Canis lupus familiaris: one gene and its partners. The protein of the gene in region 7 interacts with the protein of the main gene of each other region in a pairwise test. Links are inferred from orthologs where the notes say so. Each region holds a gene or a part of one and is shown on either strand. Other genes may lie near its edges.

The links.
Region 1: the proteins of LZTS2 (region 7) and RAD51D interact in binary tests that used the Homo sapiens proteins (3 or more experiments, as listed by UniProt). The two-hybrid records come from large-scale screens. The link is inferred for Canis lupus familiaris from reciprocal best matches to the Homo sapiens genes LZTS2 and RAD51D.
Region 2: the proteins of LZTS2 (region 7) and GPANK1 interact in binary tests that used the Homo sapiens proteins (3 or more experiments, as listed by UniProt). The two-hybrid records come from large-scale screens. The link is inferred for Canis lupus familiaris from reciprocal best matches to the Homo sapiens genes LZTS2 and GPANK1.
Region 3: the proteins of LZTS2 (region 7) and MAB21L3 interact in binary tests that used the Homo sapiens proteins (3 or more experiments, as listed by UniProt). The two-hybrid records come from large-scale screens. The link is inferred for Canis lupus familiaris from reciprocal best matches to the Homo sapiens genes LZTS2 and MAB21L3.
Region 4: the proteins of LZTS2 (region 7) and HSPD1 interact in binary tests that used the Homo sapiens proteins (3 or more experiments, as listed by UniProt). The two-hybrid records come from large-scale screens. The link is inferred for Canis lupus familiaris from reciprocal best matches to the Homo sapiens genes LZTS2 and HSPD1.
Region 5: the proteins of LZTS2 (region 7) and C15H1orf109 interact in binary tests that used the Homo sapiens proteins (3 or more experiments, as listed by UniProt). The two-hybrid records come from large-scale screens. The link is inferred for Canis lupus familiaris from reciprocal best matches to the Homo sapiens genes LZTS2 and AIRIM.
Region 6: the proteins of LZTS2 (region 7) and BYSL interact in binary tests that used the Homo sapiens proteins (3 or more experiments, as listed by UniProt). The two-hybrid records come from large-scale screens. The link is inferred for Canis lupus familiaris from reciprocal best matches to the Homo sapiens genes LZTS2 and BYSL.

The regions. Positions count from the first base shown.
Region 1 is NC_049230.1:38,217,477-38,220,976, reverse strand, and holds part of RAD51D (DNA repair protein RAD51 homolog 4), read right to left. Parts: intron 2,084-3,500; coding exon 2,002-2,083; intron 1,728-2,001; coding exon 1,593-1,727; intron 852-1,592; coding exon 756-851; intron 34-755; exon of another isoform or gene 1-33. UniProt on the Homo sapiens protein: Involved in the homologous recombination repair (HRR) pathway of double-stranded DNA breaks arising during DNA replication or induced by DNA-damaging agents. Bind to single-stranded DNA (ssDNA) and has DNA-dependent ATPase activity.
Region 2 is NC_049233.1:1,285,955-1,290,021, reverse strand, and holds the start of GPANK1 (G patch domain and ankyrin repeat-containing protein 1), read left to right. Parts: upstream 1-1,267; 5' UTR 1,268-1,675; intron 1,676-1,686; exon of another isoform or gene 1,687-1,765; coding exon of another isoform or gene 1,766-1,814; exon of another isoform or gene 1,815-2,493; intron 2,494-2,790; 5' UTR 2,791-2,804; coding exon 2,805-3,415; intron 3,416-4,067. Other genes in the region: CSNK2B (casein kinase II subunit beta), read right to left, coding at 340-422, 1,766-1,814.
Region 3 is NC_049238.1:54,124,369-54,127,868, forward strand, and holds part of MAB21L3 (protein mab-21-like 3), read left to right. Parts: coding exon 1-103; intron 104-2,656; coding exon 2,657-2,841; intron 2,842-3,293; coding exon 3,294-3,488; intron 3,489-3,500.
Region 4 is NC_049258.1:6,890,901-6,894,400, reverse strand, and holds part of HSPD1 (60 kDa heat shock protein, mitochondrial), read left to right. Parts: intron 1-1,783; coding exon 1,784-1,883; intron 1,884-2,439; coding exon 2,440-2,685; intron 2,686-3,086; coding exon 3,087-3,261; intron 3,262-3,500. UniProt on the Homo sapiens protein: Chaperonin implicated in mitochondrial protein import and macromolecular assembly. Together with Hsp10, facilitates the correct folding of imported proteins.
Region 5 is NC_049236.1:4,889,818-4,893,505, reverse strand, and holds the end of C15H1orf109 (uncharacterized protein C1orf109 homolog), read right to left. Parts: intron 2,333-3,688; coding exon 2,214-2,332; intron 2,021-2,213; coding exon 1,983-2,020; 3' UTR 501-1,982; downstream 1-500. UniProt on the Homo sapiens protein: Part of the 55LCC heterohexameric ATPase complex which is chromatin-associated and promotes replisome proteostasis to maintain replication fork progression and genome stability.
Region 6 is NC_049233.1:10,768,295-10,772,308, forward strand, and holds the start of BYSL (bystin), read left to right. Parts: upstream 1-1,214; 5' UTR 1,215-1,371; exon of another isoform or gene 1,372-1,578; 5' UTR 1,579-1,592; coding exon 1,593-1,860; intron 1,861-4,014. Other genes in the region: MED20 (mediator of RNA polymerase II transcription subunit 20), read right to left, coding at 1,023-1,036. UniProt on the Homo sapiens protein: Required for processing of 20S pre-rRNA precursor and biogenesis of 40S ribosomal subunits. May be required for trophinin-dependent regulation of cell adhesion during implantation of human embryos.
Region 7 is NC_049249.1:13,868,791-13,872,921, forward strand, and holds the start of LZTS2 (leucine zipper putative tumor suppressor 2), read left to right. Parts: upstream 1-1,331; 5' UTR 1,332-1,488; intron 1,489-1,917; exon of another isoform or gene 1,918-2,439; intron 2,440-3,535; coding exon of another isoform or gene 3,536-4,131. Other genes in the region: proline-rich protein HaeIII subfamily 1-like, read right to left, coding at 3,536-4,131. UniProt on the Homo sapiens protein: Negative regulator of katanin-mediated microtubule severing and release from the centrosome. Required for central spindle formation and the completion of cytokinesis.

The DNA of each region.
Region 1 (3,500 bases), on a different chromosome or scaffold from region 7:
AATGGAGCCTGCTTCTCCCTCTGCCTGTGTCTCTGCCTCTCTCTGTCTCTGTCTCTCATGAGTAAATAAATAAAATCTTAAAAAAAAAAAGAAAGAAAGAAAGAAATCTGGCATCATAGAAGATGGGCCTAAACCCTAGGCTAAGATACACCTAAAACTCTGTTTTGGCCAACTAGATGTAAGGTGAAGTCTACTAGTAGGTTTTGCAGAAAGATTTTTCTATCCCGATAAAAAGGTTAAGTACAGAAGAGGGGCCATCTAGTACTGCCCCAAATATGGGTGTTGATGTATGAAGACACAGTGCTTAGAGCTATAGCAGCCACTTTGCAATTATGAGGGGGAAGAGCCAGAGAATCAGACACATCAACCTAGAGCCCTGACACCATGGACCTGCCAACCTCCAGACTCACGTGAGATAATTAAATGTCCTCAAGGTTCAAGTACCTGTCAGACAGACTATTACTTGCAGCTGAAAGTAATCCTCACTGATCCAGTGGGGGGCAGAATGCAGAAATGAATGACGTGATCCTTGCACTCAAGCGCCTTAGTGTTTAGTGGGGAAGATGGGCAAGTAAACAAGAGGCACTCAGGAATGATTAAGCATTCAGGAATCCCATCCTGGAGGTGGCAAGCACAGCTGGAGTCACCAGATTGCACATCTGCATTTCCAAACAGTCAGCCGTAGGACACCTGCCCACATACAGATAGCCCCAGCAAGCTGGGTGAAGCAGGGAGGGGCAGGACAGCAGGCTCACCTGCTGGGACAGAGTGCCTCGGCAGTCCTGTAGCACGTCTAACATCTGGAAGATGTCAAATGCACGAACTACCTGGATCCTCTGGAGAGCTCCTGCCTAAAGAGGTAGGAAAGAGAAGGAGGGGCTTTGGGTAAGAGGGAGCAGGGGCTCAAGTAAGATAAAGAGGGATTTTATTTTTTTTGAAGATTTTATTTATTTATTTGACAGAGAGTAAGCGAGAGACAGAAAGAAAGAGATTGAGAAAGAGAACGAGCTGGGAGAGGGGCAGAGGAAAAGGGAGAAAGACTTTCTGCTGAGCAGGGAGCCCAACTCAGCGCTTGACCCCAGGACCCTGAGATCATGATCTGAGCCCAAGGCAAATGCTTAGCCAACTGAGCCACCCAAGTGCCCCCAAAGAGGGATTTTAAAGCTGAGCAAAATGAGACACCTAGATGTAAGGACTCCAGTACAAGATGGTAAATGGGTCTGTCTACTGGGCCAGTTGTTACAGTGGAGGCTGTCTGGGGGCTGAGCTGCAAAGCCAAGTCAGAGCTCTGTCTGATTAGGAATGTCTGCTATGGGCAAGAAAAATGGGAAGGAAACACAGATGCTGGGTGTTTGCCAGCTATGAATTAGGGTGTGCATGGAGCTAGGTCACCTTGGAAGATCAGTGTGGGTAGCATCCAAGCTGGGCTAATGTTATAACAGGGGACACTTAAAGAATTCAGGAAGTACTAAGAACAATAGGTTTCAAACTCAGAAGTGACTATCCAAACAGCTAAAATTCTTGCACTCTAAGGAATAATGGCATCTTTCTACATCAGAACCTCAAGGGAACTCAACCCTCCTGCCCCTTACCTGCACCTCCTCATCTGGGGTTCTGGCCTGAAGTAGCTGGAGGATGCGGGAGGCTGTCAATCCTCCATTGGAATCAATGTATACAACATTCTGCTGCAGGCCATAGGCCACATTTGCAGCCACACAAAGACATACCTGAAGGGACAAGGCATTGGGAGATAGTGAGCCCCCAAAGAGGGCCCAGAATGGGAGCTCCCCACCAAATCCTGTCCAGGACCCAGCAACTCGAATGGGCGAAGTTCATGCCCAACTCCTCACCACTTATCTTCTCTCTGAATCACAAGTACATTAGAAGAAGCCGCCCCCCACCACACACACACACACAGATCTGGTGCTACCCACCACCTCCTCCCTCTTCTCCCCTCCCCTTCCCTACCCCATGGCCACCTGCTGCTGGCCGCAAATGTACCTGGGTCTTGCCACTACCTGGGCCTCCTACAATTTCAGTCACTTCTCCAGTGTAGAGACCAGCATCAAGCAGTTTGTCCAGGCTGATGAAAGAAGAGGAAGAAAGAGAATCAACCCAGTGGACTGGTGGGGACAGAGGGGAGTAGGAACCAAGAAAAGTAAGACATTCCTTCCCAGCACTAGTTCTGAACATATCTAGGGAAAGAGGGCATGGCTCCAAGGTCCATCCATTCACTCTTGGCCTAAAGATCACTTTCCACAGAGGTCTCTGCCAACCCATCAAAGGGTCCTCTTTCTATTGCCTATCTTAATCCCCTACAGGTTTCCTTGATAGCATTTCCCATAATTCGTCACTTTTTCAACTTTATTTATTTTATTTATTTATTCATGAGACACACACACACACACACAGAGACCCCCAATGCCTTGTCTTAAAAAGAAAATTTAAAGGGGTCTGTGGGTGGCTCAATCAGTTAAGCATCTGACTCTTGATTTTGGCTCAGCTCATGATCTCAGGCTTGTGAGATCAAGCCTGGCATAGGGCTCTGTGCTGGGTATAGAGCCTCCTTAAGATTCTCCCTTCCTCTGCCCCTCTCCCCCTTCTCTAAACAAAAACAAAAAACACAACTGTTGGGTTGTATGGCAAGCACATGTTAATTTTATAAGAAATTACTAAACTATAAGAAACTACTAAACTGGGCAGCCAGGGTGGCTCAGCGGTTTAGCGCTGCCTTCAGCTCAGGGTGTGATTCTGGAGACCCAGGATCGAGTTCCGCACCAGGCTCCCTGCGTGGAGCCTGCTTCTCCCTCTGCCTGTGTTTCTGCCTTGCTCTCTCTCTCTCTCTGTGTGTGTCGCACATGAATAAATAAATAAAATCTTAAAAAAAAAGTAAAAAAAAAAAAGAATCCTTATAAAAAAAAGAATTCTTTATATATTTTAGATGCAAGTCCTTTGTTGAATATGTGGTTTGCAAATATTTTCCCCACTCTGTGGGGAAACCACTCTGTGCTTGTCTTTTTGTCCTCTTTTCAGAGCAAAAATTTTAAATCTGGATTCATTTTTAATCTTATAGTTTTATTAACAATTATTTTTTAATTGATCATGATTTTGTTTTGTTTTGTTTTGTTTAAAAGATTGTATTTATTTATTCATGAGAGACACACAGAGAGAGGCAGAGACACAGGCAGATGGAGAAGCAGGTTCCCTGTGGGAAGCCTGATATGGAACTTGATTCCAGGACCACAGGATCCCTACTGGAGCCCAATGTGGGGCTCGATCACCAGACCCATGATCCAGGATCACACCCTGAGCTGAAAGCATATGCTTAGCTGCTGAGCCACCCAAGCACCCCAATTGATCATGCTTTTGGTGTCAAGTCTAAGAACTCTCTGCCTAGCTCTAGTTCTCAGATTTTCCCCTCTGTTTTGTTCTAAAAGCTTGACAGTTTTAGGGTACTTGCCTGGCTCAGATGGAGGAGCATGTAACTCGATCTCAGGGTT
Region 2 (4,067 bases), on a different chromosome or scaffold from region 7:
CTTTGCCTGTTACAAAACATTTTGATAAACGGCATTTTAATCCTAATAGGCTCCCAAATTAAGCACTACTAGTACAAGCCTAGCAATAATAATAAGAATAACAGTAGTAGTAGTAGTAGTAATAAAGTTGACTTTTCCAATATTACACCGCTGGACAGTAACAGGCTTGGGATGGGCAAGTCTTGCCACTTCACAAATTAGTGAGGGGAGTTACTGAAGGGACTCTTCCTTGACAGGAAAAAGTTTCTATGACAGCCTGTAAGAGAAGTAGAAGCTAAATATGTGGAAAAACATACAGCCAAACTTTGTGCGGACATAGCTGGGAGATTGAGAACTCACTTCACAAAAGAATTCATTGCCACGGAGCCCACAGAACCAGGATATCCAAGACACCTCCTCTGAGCTGCTCATCTTCACGTCAGCTGGGAAAAAAAAAAAAAAGAGGGTAAACAAAGGCCAAGCTCCCCCACCCTGTCTCTGGTACCTTCCCTCCTCCCCACACTCTGCTCCCCGACCATGGAAGAATTTGGAGCCCCCTTTTCTTAAAGGATCCTAGACCCTGGCGCACCTGCCTCCAATTCCTCTTATTCACTAGAGGCTCTTTGGAGTCCCACCACTTCTGAAAAACCGACAGGTCTAGGCTCACCCGTCCTACCCACACCCCTAACAATCCCGAAAACCAGCACCCTCTCCTCTTTACGTCAAGTCCCTCCCTCGCAGGGCTCTCGGCTCGAGATCCCTACCCCGCAGGTCTCCGCATGTCCCCGACACCTTTCCCAAGGGTTCCGAAGTTTATCCTTTCCAAGCAAAAGCCAGGACCCTTTCCCCTCACGACCTGGAGGTGGCCCTGGGTCCCTCTCACAGGAGTCCCCACACCCCGCCTCTCAGGCCAACCCTCCCTCCCCCGGTGCCGGACCGGGTCACTTCCTTCCCCACCCCCACACCAACGCGCGGAGACCCCATGTGCCGCGCCTAAGGACGGAAGACTCGATGCGGCAACGACCTCAGACTCACCGGCTGGGCGGGGACCGGGACCGGGACCGGGGTGGGGGAGGGGAGTTGCTGCTTCCAAAGAACCGCGACGGCTACAGCGCAGGCCGCGGACCCGACCGCGGCAGGCGAAGTAGCGAGGGGGGGGGGGCGGGGGGCGGTGTGTGTGGAAATTGGGGAGGGTGGGGAGAGGGCAACGCGCAAGCGCCAAGGGTCGGGCGCCGCAGTGAACGCCGGGAAATGGAGTCCCAGGTAAAGAGAAACTGGCGAAGCGAAGAACAGGCGAACTACGAATCCCAGGATGACCCACGAACGACCCTGGCGTCGCGAGGCCCAGGAACAAGACGCTCGGGGGTGGGGAGCAGCGGGATACCACCGGAAGCGGAAGCGCAGTACCCCGTTCTGGGCCAGGGAGTATGGGAAATAGAGTCGTAGGGTCGCGCAACTGAGGGGCCGGGAGGGGGCGGGGAAGGAACGGGGCTGGAGGGCTGGATTCCTGCAACTCCCCTCACACAGCGAGGCTCTGCCCCAGGTGTTTGCCGGCAGCCCAGGGTGCTGACCTCGTCCCCGACTACCCCACCGGGTCCTTGTTGCCTGCGGAGCCTCTCGCCAGAGTCAGGCCCGCCACTGGAGGCCCCACCCGGGCCGGTGCTTCACCCCGGGGTCTAGTCTCCTCAGGCGGGAGGTGAGGCCGGGCTCCTTGCTTGCGGGACGTGGGAAGAGTGGGCTGGGCTGAGGTGAGCGGTGTGAGAATTGGGACGGCCTGTGCGCTAACCTGAAGTGGCGCCAGCCATTCTGCTGCTCGTCCCCTTGCACTTTTCCATCTCCTCTCAGAGCTTGAATGGGGCCTTCTGCTGCGGGCACTAAGTGTGACCTTCGAACCCTGCTCAGAATAATGGTGAGGGGTGGCGTGACGTTATTTCACTTCACGGCTTCGGGGCATTCCACAGGTTTCCTCCCGCCTTCTCAGAGCCCTCCTTAACTCGGTGGTTTCGCAGGTCCAAAAACTGCGCTCGGAGTGGGGGGCCACGTTCCGGGAGGCGAAGGGCATTGTGGGGCGTTATGTAGAAGTAGGACCCCAACCGACAGAGCCTCTGTCCTCGCGCTGCCTGGGCACGTGGCATCCTGGAGGGTCCCACCGTGCGAAGGCTCAGCCTGGCGCTTCGCACACGCCCGCACCCTCAAGTTCTGCTTTGTGGTGGTTGATTTTTTTTTCAGTCACACATGTGTGTCTGGGTCGTGTGGCTATTGGACTGGCAGCACCTTTGCTTAGATAAAATTTTTGTGGTACAGAGACCCTGTGGGGTCTCCACAGAGACTGGAGTTTCTCCCCCAAATCTTCTTCTTGCATCCGGAGAAGGTTAAAAGTCTGTTTTTGTTTGGAAAGACCCTACCCTGACATAGGATCAAGGAAGATTTAAAGGGCTAGGCTGATTGTTTTCTTAACTGCACGTCTTACCTGGTGATCAAGTAGTTTGAGAGAGAAGCTGTTTTTACTTATTGGTGAGGATAGGGATGGGCCTCTGGGCAATTCTCATTAAATCTTTGTTAAGTTAACCTTTACGAGGGATATGGGCTGTTATTGTATGGCTCCCTGTTTTTCCACATGACCTATGGTCCTTAGGCCCTGTAGGGTCCTAGGTTGTGGGGTCACTTAGAGTATAAGACGGGTTTTTGACTTGGAAAAGGCTACTTTTCCTCATCCCAGCAGATCTGTGGAGGTGGTTCTGGTCAGTGCAGAGCCACCAAGGGATTGGCTTGCTTGTCTCATACGCCCTTTAATTAGTCTCATTGTCTCAGTTCTCCCAAAAGCCATGTCCAGGCCCTCCCTCATCACCTTCACCCCGGCCACCAACCCCAGTGACCTCTGGAAAGATGGGCAGCAGCAGTCACAGCCTGAAGAGCTGGAGCCCACCCTGAATGGGGCTGCAGCCCGGGCTTTCTATGAGGCCCTGATTGCAGAAGAGAGCAGCATCCCTGCATCCCAGAGATCTCAGCCTGAACCTGACAGGAAAAGAAAGAGGAAGAAGAGAAGAATGATGGGGGAAGCTGCTGTAGGAGCCTCAGCAGGACATGGACAAAGGAGATCCCTTGAGGCAGAGGACAAGATGACCCATTGGATACTGAGGGCAGCCCAGGAGGGTGACCTAGCAGAACTAAGAAGGCTCTTGGATCCCCACGAGGCAGGGGGAGCGGGGGGCAATATCAATGCTCGGGATGCCTTCTGGTGGACCCCCCTGATGTGTGCTGCTCGAGCAGGCCAGGGGGCTGCTGTGCGCTATCTCCTGGGCCGTGGAGCTGCCTGGGTGGGTGTCTGTGAGCTGGGTGGCAAGGATGCTGCTCAGCTGGCTGAAGAAGCGGGTTTTCCTGAGGTGGCGCGCATGGTCCGAGAGAGCCACGGAGAGACGAGGAATCCAGAGAACCGGTGAGAGGAAGCCTTAACCCATGCCCATCTTTCAGTGTGTTCTGCCCTTCCTAGTCCCTCCATGCCAGAGGCTCCGGAACAGACTCAAAGATTCTCTCCCTGATCCCCAGTGTAGGTTGATATGGCAATGGAATCGAGTAGTAGTAAATGTGAGCTCCCTGTTTTTTTTGTGTGTGTGTTTTTTTAAGATTTTTATTTATTTATTCATGAGAGACACAGAGAGAGAGAGAGAGGCAGAGGGAGAAGCAGGCTCCCTGCAGGGAGCCCGATGTGGAACTCATCCAAGGTCTCCAGGATCACACCCTGGGCCAAAGGCAGGCGCTCAACCGCTGAGCCACCCAGGTGTCCCAGCTCCCTGGGTTTAAATTCTGATTCTACTTACTTGGTCAAGCAACCTAATTTTTATGTGCCTCATTTTCCTTATCTGAGAAATGGGGGGTAACAAGAGCACCTGTTAAAGAATTGTGAGGATTTAATGGGTCAATATATGTAAAGTGTTAGGATGACGGTTTACCATATATATATATATATAGTTAATATATATATATAGGGGATTAACTATATACATATATATAGGGGATCCCTGGTGGCGCAGGGCGCGATCCTGGAGACCCGGGATCGGATCCCACATCGGGCTCCCGGTGCATGGAGC
Region 3 (3,500 bases), on a different chromosome or scaffold from region 7:
CACAAGGCAGATGTGAACATAGAGGGGGATATCGTGCCTGCCAAGGTCCTCCAGGTGTTCCGGAAGCTGGTAGAAAATGCAATTGGAACCTGTCATCTCTCAGGTGAGCTGATCAAGAAAAGTACAAGGACAATTTCTGGCATTCCCCTTTTGCTTTAAAAAACCTCTGCATAGGTGTCACCCCGAAGCTCATGCCCCTAAATTAAGATAATCCCCATGTGCTCCTTACATCTGTTCACTCCTCACAATATGAGTTAGCTCTTTTTTCTGCTTTGACACTGAAGAATAGGATCCATATAACATCCACTTGGATTTCCGTGGATTATTGCCCCAGCAGAGAAATGATGGGCTTTCGGTTATGCACCAGTTCCCAGATGTTAATTTAAAAACTTGGCTACATGTTTTAAAAAGCAAATTATTCACAAACTACATATCTTTGGTATTAGCACATTCCTACAACACCCTCCAACTGACTGCAGTACCCTGGTGTATTGAGATGCCGCATTTGGAAACCACTGATTTGTGCCAAAACACAAAATTGAGAAGCCATAAAGAACCGATAAGTTTGATAATCCCAAAATCTTAAACCGTATACCAACATGTGGCATATGTGCACAGGCGGGCACACACACATTTTGTTCACACAGAATAAAAATGTGTATTTCATGCTGGGTAAAAAGTTGCAAATTTTCTTAATTATAAAAGAGTAGTTGTAAACCAGTAAGAGTAGGAGCCAGCCAATAGAAATAATGACCAGAAAAATGACTCACAGAAAAAGAATATAAACACGTAGTAGTAAAAAAGTGGGGAAAAAAATTCCATCTAACATATATTTCAAGCAATGTGCATTAAAACAACTAATAGATTGACAGAGATGAAAAAATGTGATCATGCTCAGTGTAGGGGTGAGTGTGGTACAAAAGGCCTTTTCAAGCATTGTTTTTGGAAGTATAAATTGGTGCCTACTTTTTAAAGGGCAGTCAGTCTGTTTTTATTTTTATAAAGTGCTTCAGTTGACAATTCACCAATTCCAGGTCTAGAAATATATTCCTACAGATTAGAAAGAAATATGCATAATGGTGTCCACTGCCATAGGGGCTGTGTGAAAGAAAGTAAGTAGACATAATATCAAAAACAAAGGGAAGTTGACAAAATAAATTGTACTACCTCTACCTCTACACAGAGTTGTAAAAAAATCCCTGCGCTGGATAATGAAGGGAAAAACCAGAGCACCGACCAAGAGGCAATCCCACGTGTGTAGAAAGAAAAGGATTTGAAAATGTACTTTTACTTGTCTGGACTGAGCTGTTCTGAAAGGTCCCATAATGGAATTAGCCCATGTTTAATGCGTTTTTTACCACATTAAGGATGCTTTCGTGGAAAATGTCATGCGCATAGCAACCCTGGAGAGTCAGAGTTATTTTTCTACCTGTTTTACGGATGAGAACACTGAGGTTGAGAGAGAGGAGCTATCATGCATGACCGAGGTTGAGGTCATGCATCGAGTGAGCTGAGCCAGGGCAGAAGCAGGGTGTGGGGGGCAGGCTGGTTCCAGCATGTGCTGACCTCTTCACTTCGAAACACTGGTAATAGTGAAAGTGCAAATGAGGGCTTGCAAACGGGCCAGGTTGATGAGATGCTTTCAGTAAACAATGCCAGGGTGCCAGACGTCGTCATGTTCCTGTCTGGGCAGCTCTGATGAGCTGCAGACAGTAAGCTCTTCATCGCACCCCAGCCAAGGAGAGGAATGTTTTCCTTTTGAATAGCTTAACGTGATTAATGAGCAAGCTTCCATTTTCTTCTCTGAGCAAACAAGAGAAAAAGAACAGATCCTGATTCAAGACAGCTCATCCTTTTTATCTGTAATGAAGGCAAACAAACAAAACTACTGCGTATCTTTTGAAAGAAGGGGGAACAGATTAGCAACGAATTCTAGTACAGGAACTGGAAGATGCTCCCAGATGCATTTATCTTCTCTCCCTCTCTTTGCCAGGTTGGAAGAGGCAGCGGGGCTTCTTTCCACTCATTCGAGCCTTTCAGCCAGTGGCTATGACACACTTTGAAGAATTCTATAATTGCAAGGGCTTGGGATGACAAATACACCTGAGGCTAGGCTAGCTTAATGGATAGTGGAAACAATGCCATCAGAGAGCCTGGGCGGCAGGGGAGGGACGGGTTAAGCCGAGCTCCACTAGAGGCCGGTGAATGAAGTCAGGGGACGGAGGCTGACAAGGTCAGGACATCTGAGCAGAATGGAGGGGGCACAGAAGAATGGCTGGATTTCATTTTTACTAGCAAATACTCCATCTTTTCTTTGTCTTCTCTGCCTCTTCCATTGAGCCTTCTGAAAAGAATCTATTACTTTAAAAGAAAAGGTGCCATAAAAGCCTCGGGGGTGGGAGAGAAAGGGAAAAGCAACCGGCACCAACAATGAGGTTTTCTAGCAACATTTCTACCAATATTTACTCAGCTAATTGTCTAGTTTTGCCATAAACCCCCCACCTTTGGGGTGTTTCCGGCCTGTGAAAGTTGCCCCATCACCTGCAAGGAGCTGCTCACACCTGTGGCTCCCGGATTCCTCCTTAGGACCGTCCTTAGGACGTGGGCGCTGAGCCAGGCTTCCTCTTCTCATCACCTCTTTGTCGCTTCCCACCAGGTAAGGTCAGCATGCTCCCACACCACGCTGCAGCTGCAGTTTGGGTTGCCGTGGAAACGCCCACGTGTCAGGTGGAACTAGAGCTGGTCCCCGCAGTGGAGATCCCCACGGCCTGGTCTGAGAAAGCTCGGTGGCCTCCCTGTCTGAAGCGCTGGCCTTCCCGACAGAGAGTGGAGTGCATCAAGGTATCAGTGGGCCGGGGCCCAGCTCACAGCGTCACTGTCAACCAGCTTTGGAAGGAAAAATGAGGTTTCACCAGATCAGTGGTTCTCCAGGTGTGGTCCTCAGAATCTGCAGTGACCCCTGAGAGCCTGTCAGAGATGCAGAGTCCCAGGCCCTGCTCTGGATCCCCCGAGGGAGAGCTGGTGGGCAGGGCCCAGCAATCTGTTTTAACAAGCTCTCCAGGCTCAACTTGGAGAACCAGTGCCCGAGAGAAAGTGGGCACAGTCTTTCCAGTTCACTGTGTGCCAGGAAAGGGGTTTGCCCCGAGCCTCCTTCCACATCCCCACGCGGGAGGTACTGCCTGCCTGGTAGCAGGCTCCCCTCCTGCCGCAGAGCAGCGCATGGCTTCTGAGACGGCTCTACTCTGGCAAGCGTCATCCTTCTCAATGTTCCCCATGTTCTTCTCTTCCCCCAGTCGTTTGGGTTTGCCCTGTTGGCCTGTTCCAATTATCACTGGCAGCTGAGCTTCCTGCAGGCCGAGCAGGTGCTGCTGGAGCAGCTGGACGAGGACGGGGGTTGCCGCAGGAAGTGTCTTCAGGCCCTGAGGCAGGTGAAGGAGGATGTCTGGTGTCCGGGAAAGAGGCCTGTCATCACGTCCCACCATCTGCAGGTGAGCGGATGC
Region 4 (3,500 bases), on a different chromosome or scaffold from region 7:
TGCGCCACCCAGGGATCCCAAAACTTTTTTTTTTTTTTTTAAGAGTTTATTTATTTATTCATGAGGCACAGAGAGAGGGAGAAGTAGGCTCCATGCAGGGAGCCCGATGTGGGACTCGATCCTGGGACCACAGGATCAGCCCTGGGCTGAAGGTAGGCGCTCAGCTGCTGAGCCACCCAGACATCCCATCAAAGGACATTTTAATTAATGGTCTGAAATAGAGAATTTGACATTCAATCTAAGATAAAGTCTCTTCGCTTAATTTTTTAAACTATAATATATGATTTTTTACTTTACGACTAGTAGCTCCTGCTATAAAAGTGTTAGGGCCTTACTGTGGTGCATGGCTGTCTCCGTCAGAAGAGCATGTGACTCTTGATCTTGATTTGATTGTGAGTTCGAGTCCCACATGGGTGTGGAGATTAAATTTTAAGAAAGAATATTAGAACGTTTTTAAAATACATATTCTTCCTATTCCTAGAATTGAGGTATATTAGAAGTAATAATTTTTTTTGAAGATTATATTTATTCAGGAGAGACACAGGCAGAGGGAGAAGCAGGCTCCATGCAGGGAGCCCGATGTGGGACTTGATCTCGGGACTCCAGGATCACGCCCTGGGCTGAAGGCAGCACTAAACCGCTGAGCCCCCTGGGCTGCTCTAGAAGTAATAATTTTCCAATTGTAATGGAAATGGACAAATGAAATAGTTATATGGGAGAGTGCATACCTTGACACAAAAGCTCCGAATGAGTTGACTTATCCTTGAATGTTTGTTAGCTTGGATTTGCTTTTTGGGTTATGAAAAGCTTTATGAGATTGTGGGATTTTAAGTCAAAATAAATTAAAAAAAAAATAGACCTCCAGAGTTTCATTGAGCCATCTACTGGTGTCTGTAGCTTTGGATGGCTGATTGATTTGGCATACTATGTTTATCTGTCCCTCTGATTTTTATTTGGCCCTTTAATAAAATAGACCAACTCTGTCTTTAACAGTTTAAATACTCCTTTTTCACACAGTGTGGTCTCAAGTGGACATTCCTTTGATTATATATTCCAGATATTCATTACATGATAAAATCGCAGGTGAACTTAATGCTATTTATCAGCAACACTTATATATGTAAAGGAACTGAATTAAGAACACTGCTCAAACTTCAGTAGTAACTTGATCCATTACTAAATAGAACAAATAGGGTATAGTTATCACTGTAGTTAACTTAAAAGTTTTTTGTTTATGTTAGCATTTATTTCCTGGGTTCAGTTTAACCGTAAGGTCAACAATTTTTGACAAAGGTAATGGCAAATATGGATGAATGGAAAGTTGCTCTTTCATGTCTTAATTTGACTAAAAGTTGGTAGGAAGCAAAAAATTGTAAAGTGTGGTTTCCAGGGGTGCCTGGGTGGCTTAGTCAGTTATATGTCTGCTTTCAGCTCAGATCATGGTCCTCGGGGGTCCTGGGATTGAGCCCCATGTTGGGTGCCTCACCCCCCCACCCCCATTCATGTGCTCGCTTTCTTTTTTTAAAGAGATTTGATTTATTTATTCATGAGAGAGAGAGGCAGAGACATAGGCAGAGAGGGGAAGCAGGCTCCTTGCAAGGAGCCTGATGTGGGACTCAATCCCAGGACCCCGGGATCACACCATGAGCCACCGAGCCACCCAGGCGTCCCATCACTCTTTCAAATAAATAAAACCTTTTTTAAAAAAAGTGTGGTTTCCTAAGTAATCTTAGTACTAAGAACTTTAATTAACTTTAAATCTCATTCTTATTGTTCTTAACAGGCTAAAAGTCGGTCTTCAGGTTGTGGCAGTCAAAGCTCCAGGTTTTGGTGACAATAGAAAGAACCAGCTTAAAGATATGGCTATTGCTACTGGTGGTGCAGTAAGTAAAATATATGTGATGTTGGTTTACTGAATGTTATATACTTCCAGGCCTAAAATTTATAGGTAGATTTTAGGTTTTTCACAATCATTTATTATTAACTATTCATTTTTGTTTCTGTTGGATGTTTTCGAGGTAAAGGTTTGATTAAATGTGCCCAGGTCCCTTCTCTAACTTGCTATGAGTCTAGCCCAAGAATAGGATTATTTGACTAATCTGTGTTCAATACAATAGAAAAGACATAGGACTTAATTGTTTAGGTCTAAGGTCTAGTCCTGGTTCCACCAAAAGTGTGACCTCAGGGGAATTGAGTTTATACTTTTCTGAAATAAAGCTAATTAATTCTGATTGAGGATTAAGTGAGAAGTGGGAAATGCAGTGAAAAACCTGATCAAGTCTTCTCTGGACTAGACGTTGTCTTGAAATTTCACATTTCAAAGAAATACAGTATTCTAAGATGTTTATCTCCTCAAAAAACCCACCTGATGTATTACTGATAAACTTGGTATAATGAAAAACCAAGCTGCAACGGGTTCATTTTTAAATATTTTTGTAGGTGTTTGGGGAAGAAGGGTTGACTCTAAATCTCGAAGATGTTCAGCCTCATGACTTAGGAAAAGTTGGAGAGGTCATTGTGACCAAAGATGATGCCATGCTTTTAAAAGGAAAAGGTGACAAGGCTCAAATTGAAAAACGTATTCAAGAAATCATTGAGCAGTTAGATATCACAACTAGTGAATACGAAAAGGAAAAGCTGAATGAGCGTCTGGCAAAACTCTCAGATGGAGTAGCTGTGTTGAAGGTAAGATTCATTGTTGTAAATGAGTTTCTTGGGTTCTGAACCCAAGAATGATTTTGTTTCTGTGGTACTCTCCAATAGTGCCGTGTAACCAAAAGGTTTTGGGAAATAACTTTGTCATGGAGATATATATTATATAAAATTTTTTTGGAATACTCCCCTTAAAGCCAGAAGTGAACTTGGTATTGCTAAGGAAAAAGGTGTTTTGTTAATGATAGTGTGTTGGACTGATGTGAGACACTGCACTGACCCTATTAGCTCTTTAATCATGCAGTCACTTTTAACAAATAGGCGACCTTTTTTTTACATGTTTTTAAGTGAACTCCGTGCTTTTCAGTGACTCTTGCCAGTCAGCATCTTGAATGGGCAAAACCCATACTAACTGGAATTCTTTTAATCATTAGGTTGGTGGGACAAGTGATGTTGAAGTGAATGAAAAGAAAGACCGAGTTACAGATGCCCTCAATGCCACAAGAGCTGCTGTTGAAGAAGGCATTGTTCTGGGAGGAGGTTGTGCCCTGCTTCGGTGCATTCCAGCCTTGGATTCAATAACTCCAGCTAATGAAGATCAAAGAATTGGTAAAATTGCCTTTCATGAGTTGATTTGCAACCTGATTTTAGTCTTTCAGAATGCAGTTGCCCATTAAATAGAACAATAAACCACAAAGATTCCAGAATAACATTAGAAGAGCACTGATAATTAGAAAATAAATGAAAGATGCAGTCATGTCCAGGGGGAATGATTTGACCTGTGGACAAATAGAATTTTAATTTTTACAAAAGAATGAAACTGGGGATGCCTGGGGAGGCTCAGCGGT
Region 5 (3,688 bases), on a different chromosome or scaffold from region 7:
GGAATGTCTACCATATTGTTAAAAACAGAAGACACCATGTGTTTTCACTTTCTGTGATATTTCTGTTTTTCGCAACCAGAATGTGAGATCTTTACAGGCACAAACACATGAAGGTTTGGAAAAGTAGAAAATCTAATACGTTCACAAAATGGTATATGATGTGTGTAATAGTATCTACTGTAATTGTGTTGAGCTATTTTTACAGATACGAAAAGATGGGCAAACTATGTTTTTTGAACAAGATTAAATAACCCTAAAAAAAAAAAAAGATTAAATAACCCTATAGATAGATCAATGACGCTATATTTGGGTTTGGTTTCTTTGTGTGTGTGAATATGGACACCGTAAGGGTCTATATATCAAAATATCACTGATGGAGCTTTATTTGTACTTTTCTACACTTAAGAATTTTTTGACATTTCTATGATTTTTTTTCATTTCTATGATTTAAAAAAAAAATATATATATATATATCACTTTTGTAGTAAGGAAAAAAGTCATTTTCATTTTAAAAATATCTATACTCTTTATTAAGCCTCTTTACATTCAGTGACCCAGATTTTTCCACAACCCCCGAAGCTGATAGGTCTGGAAATACCCGACCATTTTACAGATGAAGGCAATGGGCTTCAGAAATGTAACCCCCAGGGCCTGATTCGGGGAGGTCTTCTCCCACCGTGGAGCTACTCTCAGATCAAAACAATGTGGTGAATCAGGCGCCAGCTTTGGTCAAAACCCCTGTCATTGTAACCATCTTGCTCTCCCCAGCTACTAACTGGGACAGGGGGACAAGAGAACTCCTCAAAGTCGGAGCCCTGAGCATAATTCATGCTGCACCACCTCCCCCTGGTGGTGGCTCTAGAAACTGGAGCTGTCCGGACAGTGAGGAGCTACAGCAGTTAGGGAACAGGGACACTCTGGGAGGTACGACGCTTTGACTTGCGGTTTTTCGACTCTTACGATGGGATGGTGCAAAACGCCACACGTGTCCACCAGAAACCGTCCTACACATTTTGAATGTGGCTCTCTCCCTGGGCTGGCAACTTGCGGCATGCTTGTGATGCTGGGCGGCGGCAGCATGCCACAGCTCAGTCAGCCCAGAGATCACAGGGGCAAACAACCTACAGCCATTCTGTGCCCGTACAGCTATTCTGTTTTTCAACCAATTACAGAAGATATTCAACATTTCATTGTAAGTTTGTGGTAGATGATTTTTGCCCAACTGTAGGCTAGTGTGAGTGCTTGGGCACCGGTTTGGTAGGTTAGGTGTATTAAGAGCATTTCTGACTTCCGATATTTTCAACTTATGATGGGATTATCAGGAGGTAACCCATCGAGAAAGATCTGTACTGTCTTCCATCAATATCACCTTTACTTCTTTAAATCAAGAAGAATCCTGTTCCATCAAGGAATCAGGTACTGACCCAAATACACGGAACAGGGCCAGGTGTCAACCAAGCTCAGAGCTTTGGATGATGCCGAGGGCGAGGCCACACTCCCTCCCCTCTCCCTCCCCACTGCTTCTGTGGCAGCGGCTCCTGCCCCAGTGTTCTGCACTGCTTTCCCCCATTCTCTCTGCCTCCTTCCATTCCCAAGCTTATGAAAGGCCAAGCGGTGGCCCATGTGCCCTCAGCCATGATGTCGCAGGGAGAGGTCCCAACATCAGAAGCCTGTCCTCAGGCTCTAGGCACTGATTTTTCTTTTCTTTTTTTAAGGCTTTATTTATTTATTCATGAGAGACACAGAGAAAGAGGCAGAGATACAGGCAGAGGGAGAAGCAGGCTCCCTACAGGGAGCCCGATGTGGGACTGGAACCCGGGTCTCCAGGATCACGCCCTGGGCTGAAGGTGCTGCTAAACCGCTGAGCCATTCGGGCTGCCCTAGGCACTGATTTTTCAAGTATGTCAGGTCACCACACTAGAAAGCACCAATGTCAGTCTTCAGCTGCGTCCCCCTTGTCTGCTGATAAACACACAGCTTTCTTACTCTTCCAGGAAAAAGGAAACATTCAACAGGGTATCTGGAATAGGAGGAGAGAAAAACTGTAGCATATCACCCTCTCCAGAGAATGCAAAACATCAGATTTATAAGAAACACAGACGCACTGCAAGGGCATCTCTGTAATGCTTCCAAAGAAGTGAGAGACACACACACACACACACACACACACACACACACAGAGCAGACATGAAGTAATAAATGAAAACCAGCACCTTGTACAAGGCTTTGGTGCTCATCTTCTGAAATTTGGTCCCAGGCCTTGGGCAAAGCTTGGATGTTTGCCAAGTCTCCCCACTGGATCGAGGACAGAAGGTACTTTCTCTTCAGGTAACTTCCTGGAAGTTAAGGACTACCCAAAAAGCAAATGAAATATGTTGAAGGGGAAGGGATCCCTGGGTGGCTCAGCGGTTTGGCACCTGCCTTTGGCCCAGGGCATGATCCTGGAGTCCTGGGATCGAGTCCCACATCAGGCTCCCGGCGTGGAGCCTGCTTCTCCCCCTGCCTGTGTCTCTGCCTCCCTCTCTCTCTCTCTCTCTCTCATAAATAAATAAATAAATCTTTAAAAAAAGAAAGAAGGAAGGAAGGAAGGAAGGAAGGAAGGAAGGAAGGAAGGAAGGAAGGAGAAAGAAAGAAAGAAAGAAAGAAAGAAAGAAAGAAAGAAAGAAAGAAAAGAAAAGAAAAGAAAAGAAAAGAAAAGAAAAGAAAAGAAAAGAAAAGAAAAGAAAAGAAAAGAAAAGAAAAGAAAAGAAAAGAAAAGAAAAGAAAAGAAAAGAAAAGAAAAGAAAGATGTTGAAGGGGAAAAATGCCCAGGGGAGAGCGACCGGGAGCCAGAAGAGTGAAAGGGTGGCCTATCTTTCCATTTACCAGGTGGCAGGACTCACCAACGCTACCGATCTTTACCGAGCACCTCCTCACTCACAGAGCTACAAGGCCAGAGGGATGAAATGTTACCCCAACAACCTAGGATCTCACCATAAAAAAAAAAAAAAAGCAAGCCAGGAACTGAAAAGATACAATCTCAGTGACGTTAAAGGGGAAACTGTATAGCAGTTCCGAGGATGAAAACCTCCCTTGGCTGGGGGGGATGGCGGGGCGGGTGGCAGCAGAAGGATTCCAGCTGGCAGGAAAGGCGTAAGCAAAGGCACAGAAGTGGAGAAGCACGGACTGGTTTCAGGGCCTAGTAAATCCTCCCATCTGGCCAGCAAGGAACATTAGCAGGGAAGGTGGCTGAGAAGGCAGGTCGAGCCAGAACATAAAGAGCACTGAAGACCACCATGGGGATTCCGGTCCGTGAGCAATGGAAGCTGCTCAAAACTCCAATGTTGGCAACGGGCAGAACAAAGACATCTTCAGAAGGAAGTGAGGTCACAGCGGCTGGAGCCAGCTTAGAGGGAAAGAAGCCAGAGGTGGAGAAACCTATCAAGAGGCTGCATAGACCAGGGGCCACACGAGAGGCAAGAAACTACGGAAGAGGCAGTGCAGATACAGAAGGAAGATACGAGGGCCCAGGGAACAGAATCAAAGCACCTGCCAAGGGGTCGTGTGGACTTTCTCAGAACAGTACCTGGCACGTCATCAGTGCTCAGTACTGCTGGCTGAGGCTCCATCAAAAACACAGGCTGATTGTTACCTTCTTCTCAAAACCTTTGAATAGCTTCCCGTCGAAGCCAAGATCCTTTCAAAGACC
Region 6 (4,014 bases), on a different chromosome or scaffold from region 7:
ACAAGCCTACAAGAACCTGAGCTATCAGAAAGACTAGCTCCAGGGATCCCTGGGTGGTGCAGCAGTTTAGCGCCTGCCTTTGGCCCAGGGTGCAATCCTGGAGACCCAGGATCGAATCCCACGTCGGGCTCCCCGCATGGAGCCTGCTTCTCCCTCTGCCTATGTCTCTCTGCCTCTCTCTGCCTCTCTCTCTCTCTCTCTCTCTGTGTGTGTGTGTGACTATCATAAATAAATTAAAATTTTTTTTTAAAAAAAGAGTGGTTCCCACAGGCTCCAGCCCTAACTAGAAACGTGCTAATACTTACCGGTACTCAAAACAAAACAATCCCTAAAATCTAGCATTTTCTCCAAGAGCATTAGGCCCATACCTTTCTCTGCCACCCCACTTATATCATGTTGAGAGATTAAAAGTCCATAGTAATTAGTTACACCAACCATACAATTAAACATAGTAGGAAACGAATTCTGAAGAGGTGACGTGCCTAAACCCCAATCTACCTCCCAACAGCTGCTGCTGCTTATTTTTTTTTTTTTTTTCCCTCTAGACCGAAAATCTTAAGACGGCCGCACCAGAACCAGACACGGGCCGGTCTAACTGCATTAAGTGGCTGTAGGGAGGGGCAGGAGAAAATCTTTAAAAAAAGACGGTTTCCTCGTTGCCTATCCTTTACCTCCTCTAGCTACGCCTGTAGATTGGGTCCTAGTTCGGGCATCCTTAATTTCCACCTCGGGCAGCCCTATGGCCTCCTGGGAAGGAGGAACACAACCACTGATGGGCTCCTGGGACAAAACCTTTCACCTGCCGCCTTTCAGGACGAAGGGAAGTGTCTCCGAGCAAACAAGCGCGGAGAATCTGCAGCCCTCGCAGCGTCTCCATCACCCACACGTTCCGAAGATATCTTATCTTCATCAGCTCATGGGGGACCGCGGTCCCTGGTCCCGGCCCTCCTCCCGGTACACTCCGGGCTCCGGGGCCCTTCCCGACCCCGAGCGCCGCCCAAAAAAGTCCCCTGCGGGCCTACCAAGTCACTCCCATGGTATCGGGCCAGGAGGATGGCAGGAACAAACAATCGGATCACAGTAGTCTCTGGCCGCCCACACTAAGTGAAGACCCCTAACGAAAGCTTCGGCCGAGGGAGGTGCTCCGGAAATGACGCAAAAGGAGAGCGTCCAGTCGACGCGCCCACGAGGAACAGGGGCAGGTCTAGGCATCTCCTCGGTGACGCCTCCAGTGACGTCACTACCCAACTCTGGCCCCGGCTTTGCAGCTAGGCAAGTCCACGTTTGGCTGGGAACAGAGGTCCTCGATCTATGAAAGTAGAAAACCACCGCTCGGACTGCCACCACTTGCAGAAGCCAGCGTTAGAAGCAGTGAGTTCATTCGGGGACCGGCTGGCTCCAGGCCCCGCTCTTACGGGGTGTGGCGGCGCTGATGGCCTTCCCGGCCTCCGGACGCCGGGAGGCGCTGTGAGCTCCGCGGGGGCCTCTTGGGAGCTGGGACTTCACGGCGCAAGTGCGCTCAAGGCTTTTTTTTTTTTTTTTCCTCGTCTGTACCCCACGTGTAAACCTTTCTGGCAGAGTTCTGGAAAAAAATGCCCAAATTCAAGCCGGCTCGCGGAGCTGCAGGCCAGGAAAAACATGCGCCGCTGGCTGAGCAAATCCTGGCTGGGGACGCGGCGCGGGCAGGGCCCCGGGAGAAGCGGCGGGGTCGTGGGACCAGAGAGGAGGACGAAGAGTATGTGGGGCCCCGGCTGACCCGACGGATTTTGCAGCAAGCGCGGCAGCAACAGGAGGAACTCGAGACCGAGCATGGGACTGGGAACAAGGCCGCAGCCCCGCGCGAGCGCACCACGCGTCTGGGTAAGTGGGGGAGGGGGGTGCCAGGAAGAGGGTGGTTAGTTTTGGAGGGAGGGGGAAGTAGATAGACGGCCAAAAGGTTCTGCCAGGGGAATCCTTTGGAATAAAAAAAGTGAAATTGAATAAGGAGTCCGCATCACACCCTTGCAAAGGTGATGAAATGGGAGACCCAGCCCTGGAATAGATTCAGGGTGGTCAGAGCTCTCTATGCCCACTTGTTGCTTTAGATGCTTGCGTCTAGGCAGTCTCTAAGTTAGACCAACAAGAAGTTAATTGGTCACACTATTGAGCACTCCTAACGTTTATCCATCTGTTCTGTACATTCTTGTAGGTTGTCTAGTCCGTACTTTGCACTGTGCTAGGTAGGAGTTTAGATGGTTTTGAGTAAAAAAGGAAGCAAGATAGCCATGACCCTGACTTCAAGATCTTACAGTCTAACCTGAGAGACAATTAAATTGACGATTCGAATAATACATTTCATGATGAAAGTATAGTTTTGGGACACCTGGGTGTCTCAGTGGTTGAGCATCTGCCTTGGGCTCTGGGCAGGATCGCGGGGTCCTGGGATGGAGTCCCGCGTCGGGATCCCAGCGGGGAGCCTGCTTCTCCCTCTGCCTATGCCTCTGCCTCTCTCTGTGTGTTTCTTGTAAATAAATAAATGAAAATCTTTTTTTTTTTTTTTAAGTATAGTTTCATCTTAAAACAAGAGCATTAGTTTTGGGGGTCAGGGTTCCTAGGTTACATGACTTTGGTGCTGAAAACTAGTGGAGAGAGAGCTCTAAGCAGAATGAACGATATTGTTTAGGTGCTATAAAGAGGGAGAGAGACTAATAAAAAGATGGTCTTTTTTTTTTTTAATTTTTTAGGGTGTAAGTGTTGACCTCCGGGTCACTTAATACATTTCTCAGGTCACATCTTTCATTTGTCCTGAGAGCAGTGTTTGACACAATTAAACACTGGCCTCCTGGGTTCGGTATCTTTACTTGGCTTCTGAGCCATCCCATTCCTGTTTTAGTACTTCTTCACCTCTCAGCATCTTTTGCTGGCTCTTTTGTCCCCAGCCTTTTATCATTGATATGCCACAAGTTTGGTTCTTGGACCTCTTCTTTTCATATCTCTTCTCTGGTGCTGTCATCCATTTCACGGTTTAAGTACCATCTATTTGGTAACTGTTCCCACCCTTGTATTCTTGCCCTGATCTCTTCCATGAAAATCAGATTCTTCTATTTTAGCTGCCTTTTTGACATCCCCAATTTGAAATCTAATAGACGTCTTAAATTTATTTTTTTTAAGATTTTATTTATTTTTTCATAAAAGACACAGAGAGAAGGCAGAGACATAGGCAGAGGGAGAAGCCGGCTCCTCACAGGGAGCCCGATGCCGGACTTGATCCCAGAACTCTGGGATCCCTCCCTGAGCTGAAGGCAAACGCTCAACCGCTGAGCCACCCAGGCGTCCCAAGAGATCTCAAATTTAATGTGTCCAAAACAGAAATCCTGATCTTCTCGCCAAACCTGCTCCTCCCACTATCAGCTCAGTTAATAGGATGCTATCCTTCCATTTGATCAAGGCAAGCCTTGGATTTCTTTCTTATTCCACATTTGATATGTTAGGAAATCTTGTTGACTCGTATCTTCAAAATAGATCAGAGTCGGGCAGCCCGGGTGGCTCAGTGATTTAGCACCGCTTTCAGCCCAGGGCCTGATCCTGGAGACCCGGGATCGAGTCCCACGTCAGGCTCCCTGCATGGAGCCTGCTTCTCTCTCTGCCTGTGTCTCTCTCTCTCTCTCTCTCTCTCTCTCTCTCTCTCATGAATGAATGAATGAATGAATGAATGAATAAATAAATAAATAAATAAATAAATAAATAAATAAATAAATAAATAAATCAGAGTCAGACCACATCTCATCACCTTGGAACACAGTCCTATTTGAACCACCATAATCTCTCACCTGGATTATTTTTAGTAGCTTCCTAATTAGCATACAGTCACCCTTACAGTCCACTCACAATAATTGGATGACTTAAAAGACCTCCATGATCTGCCCCTGTTGCCAATCTGACCTCCTCTACTACTTTCCCCTTACTCTCTTCATCCATACAGGCTTTATTTTTCCTTAAACATACTAACTTAGGGCTTTTGTCCTGGTTATTCCT
Region 7 (4,131 bases):
GCAGTAATCATTCCCAGCCGCTGGCTGGTCTATGCCTCATCCAGGGTCTGTAACATTGAATGTCAGCCATGCCTTCCAGATGTACACCACCAGGTCATTCCTACCTCTAAGGATTCTGGTCTACTGGAAGGCCTGGTGTGTTCTCAGAAAATCCTTTAGCTATTTCCATTAGGGGACTTTTGTGAGGTCTCTGTGAATTGGGGATAGAAGGATAGATACGCACTTGCCTGTCTTGCTCCACCCTCCTAGCAGACATCCCCCCCCCACACACACACACACAAAGCACAAATCCGAATGATGGGAGAGGGGAAATTGACACTCCCCCAACCCCACCCCGTACACACACATTCCATTGCACACCTGTCTTAAACTCACATCAAGATTAGCCAAAAGTATGTCTAGAAGTCCCTGGAGCCTAGAAAGCAGTAGGGGATCCCTGGGTCCGGAATAAGGTCCCTGGTAGCCACTGTCCCTGTACCCAACCAGAGTGGATTGAGGCAAATTACCCGGGCTCTTTTTCCAATCGGATATTAATCACCCTGAGAGTTTAGGAAGGGCCTGGCCCAGCTGGGTCCAGCTGGATCTTCAGCCGTGTCTTCAGATTTAGTGTCGTTTTTTCAGCTTTCCAGTCGCTTCTTTACTGCAGGTGAGTTGGAGAAGAGATTAAATTCACTGGACTCCTCCTGTGCAGATACTCTTGCTGCAAGTAAGGCTCAGATACCTGTAGATGACAGTCTGTGCCTTCCCACAGGCTGCCTCGGGTGCCACAGATGGAGCCCTAGGTGCCTTCCTGCAATACAGGGCAACTTCCTGTTTGTGCCTGTGGGTGGAACTTTATGAGTGTAAGGGAAGCCTGGCCATGCTCTGTGGGGGGCCAGAACTGGCAAGTATGCTCACCTGGGTAGGCACCTACTGCGGGGAGGGGGGAAGGGGCTGGCTCTGCTAGGGCAATTCCGACCAGAGGGTGGGGCGGGGTCTGTTTTAGTGAAACCCGAGCCTTCTTTGTCTGCTTCCTAGGGGTTTTCCTTGTTCCTGGGGAATGAGCTGAGAGCCGACCCGGTTTGGCTCCTTACAGGGTAGGGCAGGTGGCAGTAAAGTCCTATCGTCAACTTGGTTAGGCCGGCCAGGTAGTTTAGCTCCCGGTCACGTGCTGTTCGCCCCTTTCCCCAAGTCGAAAACCAAATCCAGAAAGCTGTGAAGTCGGAGGCCAGAGGGGCAACCTGGCCACCACCGAGCTACTGCTGGGCTGGGTACCGGGTCCGCCGTAGAGGGGGTGCTGGGCAGACCACTCCCCTCCCTGGGTCGGGGGCGCGGCCTCAGCCGCCCCGCCCCGCCCCGTTCCACCAGGCCGGGCCCGGCGGGCGCCGGGAGTCCGGAGCCCGGAGCTGGCTGGGAGCCGGCAGATCTGCGGCGGAGAGGTGCCGGCGCTCGGGCAGGAGCTGGGCGGGAGCGGCAGCGGCAGCGGCAGCGGCGGCGCAGGTGGCCTGGGTGAGTGGTGGGGCCGCGGAGGTGTGGGCACTCCGGCCTCCCGCACATGCCGGGTCGGGAGCGAACTTTCCCGGTCTGGGGAAGCTAGGGGGTGGAGTGAGGAGAGGGTCCCACACTGGGGTCCGGGGGGCCCGCAGGCGAGGAGCCTGAACAGGGAACCGACACGGAAACTCACGCCAGTGGGTGCACACGCGCGCGCGCCGAGACCCACGCACATAGGACACACGTGCACTCAGGAGAGGACGCGCCCAGTGGGTTACCCTTGCAGTCCCTGGAGCGGCGCCACTGGCCCGCACGGAGCCCCAGCTGACAGGGTGCTCTGCTGTCCCGTACTTGGCAGGGGTGGGAGAAGGGGCTGCCCGGTGACCGCCGACGGGGGCGGGCCGGGTGGGACACCTCCGGAGGTTCCTGCTTCCTGGCCGCCCACAGGTGAAGACTAAGACGTAAACAGGCGCCGAGCACGTGATCGCTTCGCAGACGAGTGGGCTGTGCTTCCCTCGCCCCCGCATCAGGGCGAGGACCTCCCTCCCCAACCCTGGGCGAGTCTCCGAGGTCTCCTGTCGGGCCGTATTCCATTCTCCGCCTCAAGAAATGTTAAGCCTTCCCCCTGAAATGGGAGCACAACGCCCCCTGGAGTCCGGGTAGCGCAGGCCTGGAGACTCTTGGGCTCGGTGGGGTTACCTGGGCTCCTTGCCTTCCTTCACCCGAACGAACACGTTCGTGGGGCCCTCATCCCGGAAGGTATCGGAGGAGGGCGCTATTTCGGGTGGCAGTATACGGCAGCTCCGGCCCCATACCTCCAGTCTGGGGAGCAGCTGCCTGAGAGCCGGTGGGTCCCTTTCCTACCACCACCCCTCCTTGCAGAACTGGGAGCTCCTCCCTTCAACTGTAGGAGCCGAAAACCCACTCGTGCGAGAGTGGGAGTCCTCCTTTCCCAGAGAATGCATAAAGGTAAATGTCCTCGAAGTACGGGAGTGGGCCTATCCCCCTCCCCTAGAAGGGAGGATGAGCCCCCTCCCCCAGGGAATGAGGGAGTGGGCAGCGGCCCTCGCCTCCCTCTCTGCCCCACCCTCCACCCCTACACACACGCTGAGCCCAGCTGCTGCCTGAGCTTCCGGGCTGGCTGCCAGAAAGGGGAGGAGGCTCCTGGTGCCCCAAGAGGCTGGGATCAGGGCAAGGCCAGAGGAGGGGGTCTCTACTGGGGAGGGGGGCTCAGTCTATTCTTATGTGGCTCAGGGTCTGGGGTGAGCCTGAGGGTGGTTGGGCTATGCCTCCCTTTCCAGGGAAAAAGAAAGAAAAACAACCCTTTCCATAGAGCTAAAAATAGAGCTGAGAGCTGGCCAGGGCTGTGGCCTGGAAGGGGGGGATGCTCCTTCCTGGGGCAGAGGAGCTCTGGCAGGCCTTGGCCTTGGGGGTGGGGATGCAAGTAGGGGGTGGGAGGCCTGTCCTTGGCTGGGGGTGTGGGCATCAGCTGACCTGACCAGAGACCCCTCAGGGGGGAAAAAAGTCTTTGTGGTAAAAAATGCTCGTGAAACACCATGGGTATGTGTAAGTTGTCTGACTGAATGAGACCACCAATGTGTTAAAGATGTTTAGGAGAGGAAGCCCATTTAAGATTGTGACTCGGTAGGAAGGACTCTGAGTCCTTGTGAAAGATTGTGCACAAGGTGTGTGACACCCAGTGTGTCTGTGTGTAAGTTGGCCTGAAAGATTATGGAAGGAAGGAACCTGGAATCACGTGATGGAGGAGACTGTGATTGTGGCTGCGTGGGACCGAATGTGGGAAAAGTCGTGTGGGTGTTAGGAAGATTGTGTTGTTTGCGAGAGGGTGAGACTCTCTGTGACCCTGAGAAGACCGAGGGATGTTGTCAGCTGTGGGACTGGTGTAGGTTCTGACTGTAGGTTTGGACCGCCTCACCCCAGTGATTGTCAGGGGGCCAGGGGCTGCCTCTCTCCCAGCAGTGACCTCTCTTAGCAAATGATTCTCAGGGAAGGTTGGGGAGCAGACGGCCGCGCGCGAGGCAGGCCTGGGCTCGCGGGGGGCAGGCTACAGTGCTGGGCAGTCCGGTAGGGGCCCCCAAAGTTGCTGGGGTGGCGGTGTATCCTGCGAACGCGCCGCCTGGTGGCGCCGCCTCCGCAAATCCGAATCTGCCTCCCTCCACCGCTGGGGGTGGGGCAGGCACGGCCCGAGCCCGGGTCCGCGACCCGGCCCTGGGGAGCAGGGGCCCGGCGGCCGGGGCGGGTGGGGGGGCCGGCCCTCCGCGCCCCGCTCGGGACTCCGAAGCCGGAGTGTGTCTTGCGGGGGAGGCTTCGACCGGAGGAGCGGAGGGGGAAGGGCGGCCGCCGTGGCGCCGGGCCCTTTGTGCTGGAACAATGACCAGCTGCCGCTGGCCCCGGGGCCCGGGTAGGGGTGGAGGGTGACCCGCCGCCGCCGCCGAGTCCCCGAGCCCACCGGGCGTGGGGGGTCCCGAGGCCCGCGGCGCGGCCCCGCGTGACGCGGGGTGCTGCGCGTGTCCGCGCCGGGGCGGGGACGCCCCTCGGACCCCTCCCCCGCGCTGCGCCGCCCACTCGGGCCGGACGGGGGCCGGTCGGGCCGGGGGCGCCGCGGAGGCGGGGCCGGGCCGGGCCGGGCCGGGCGCCTCC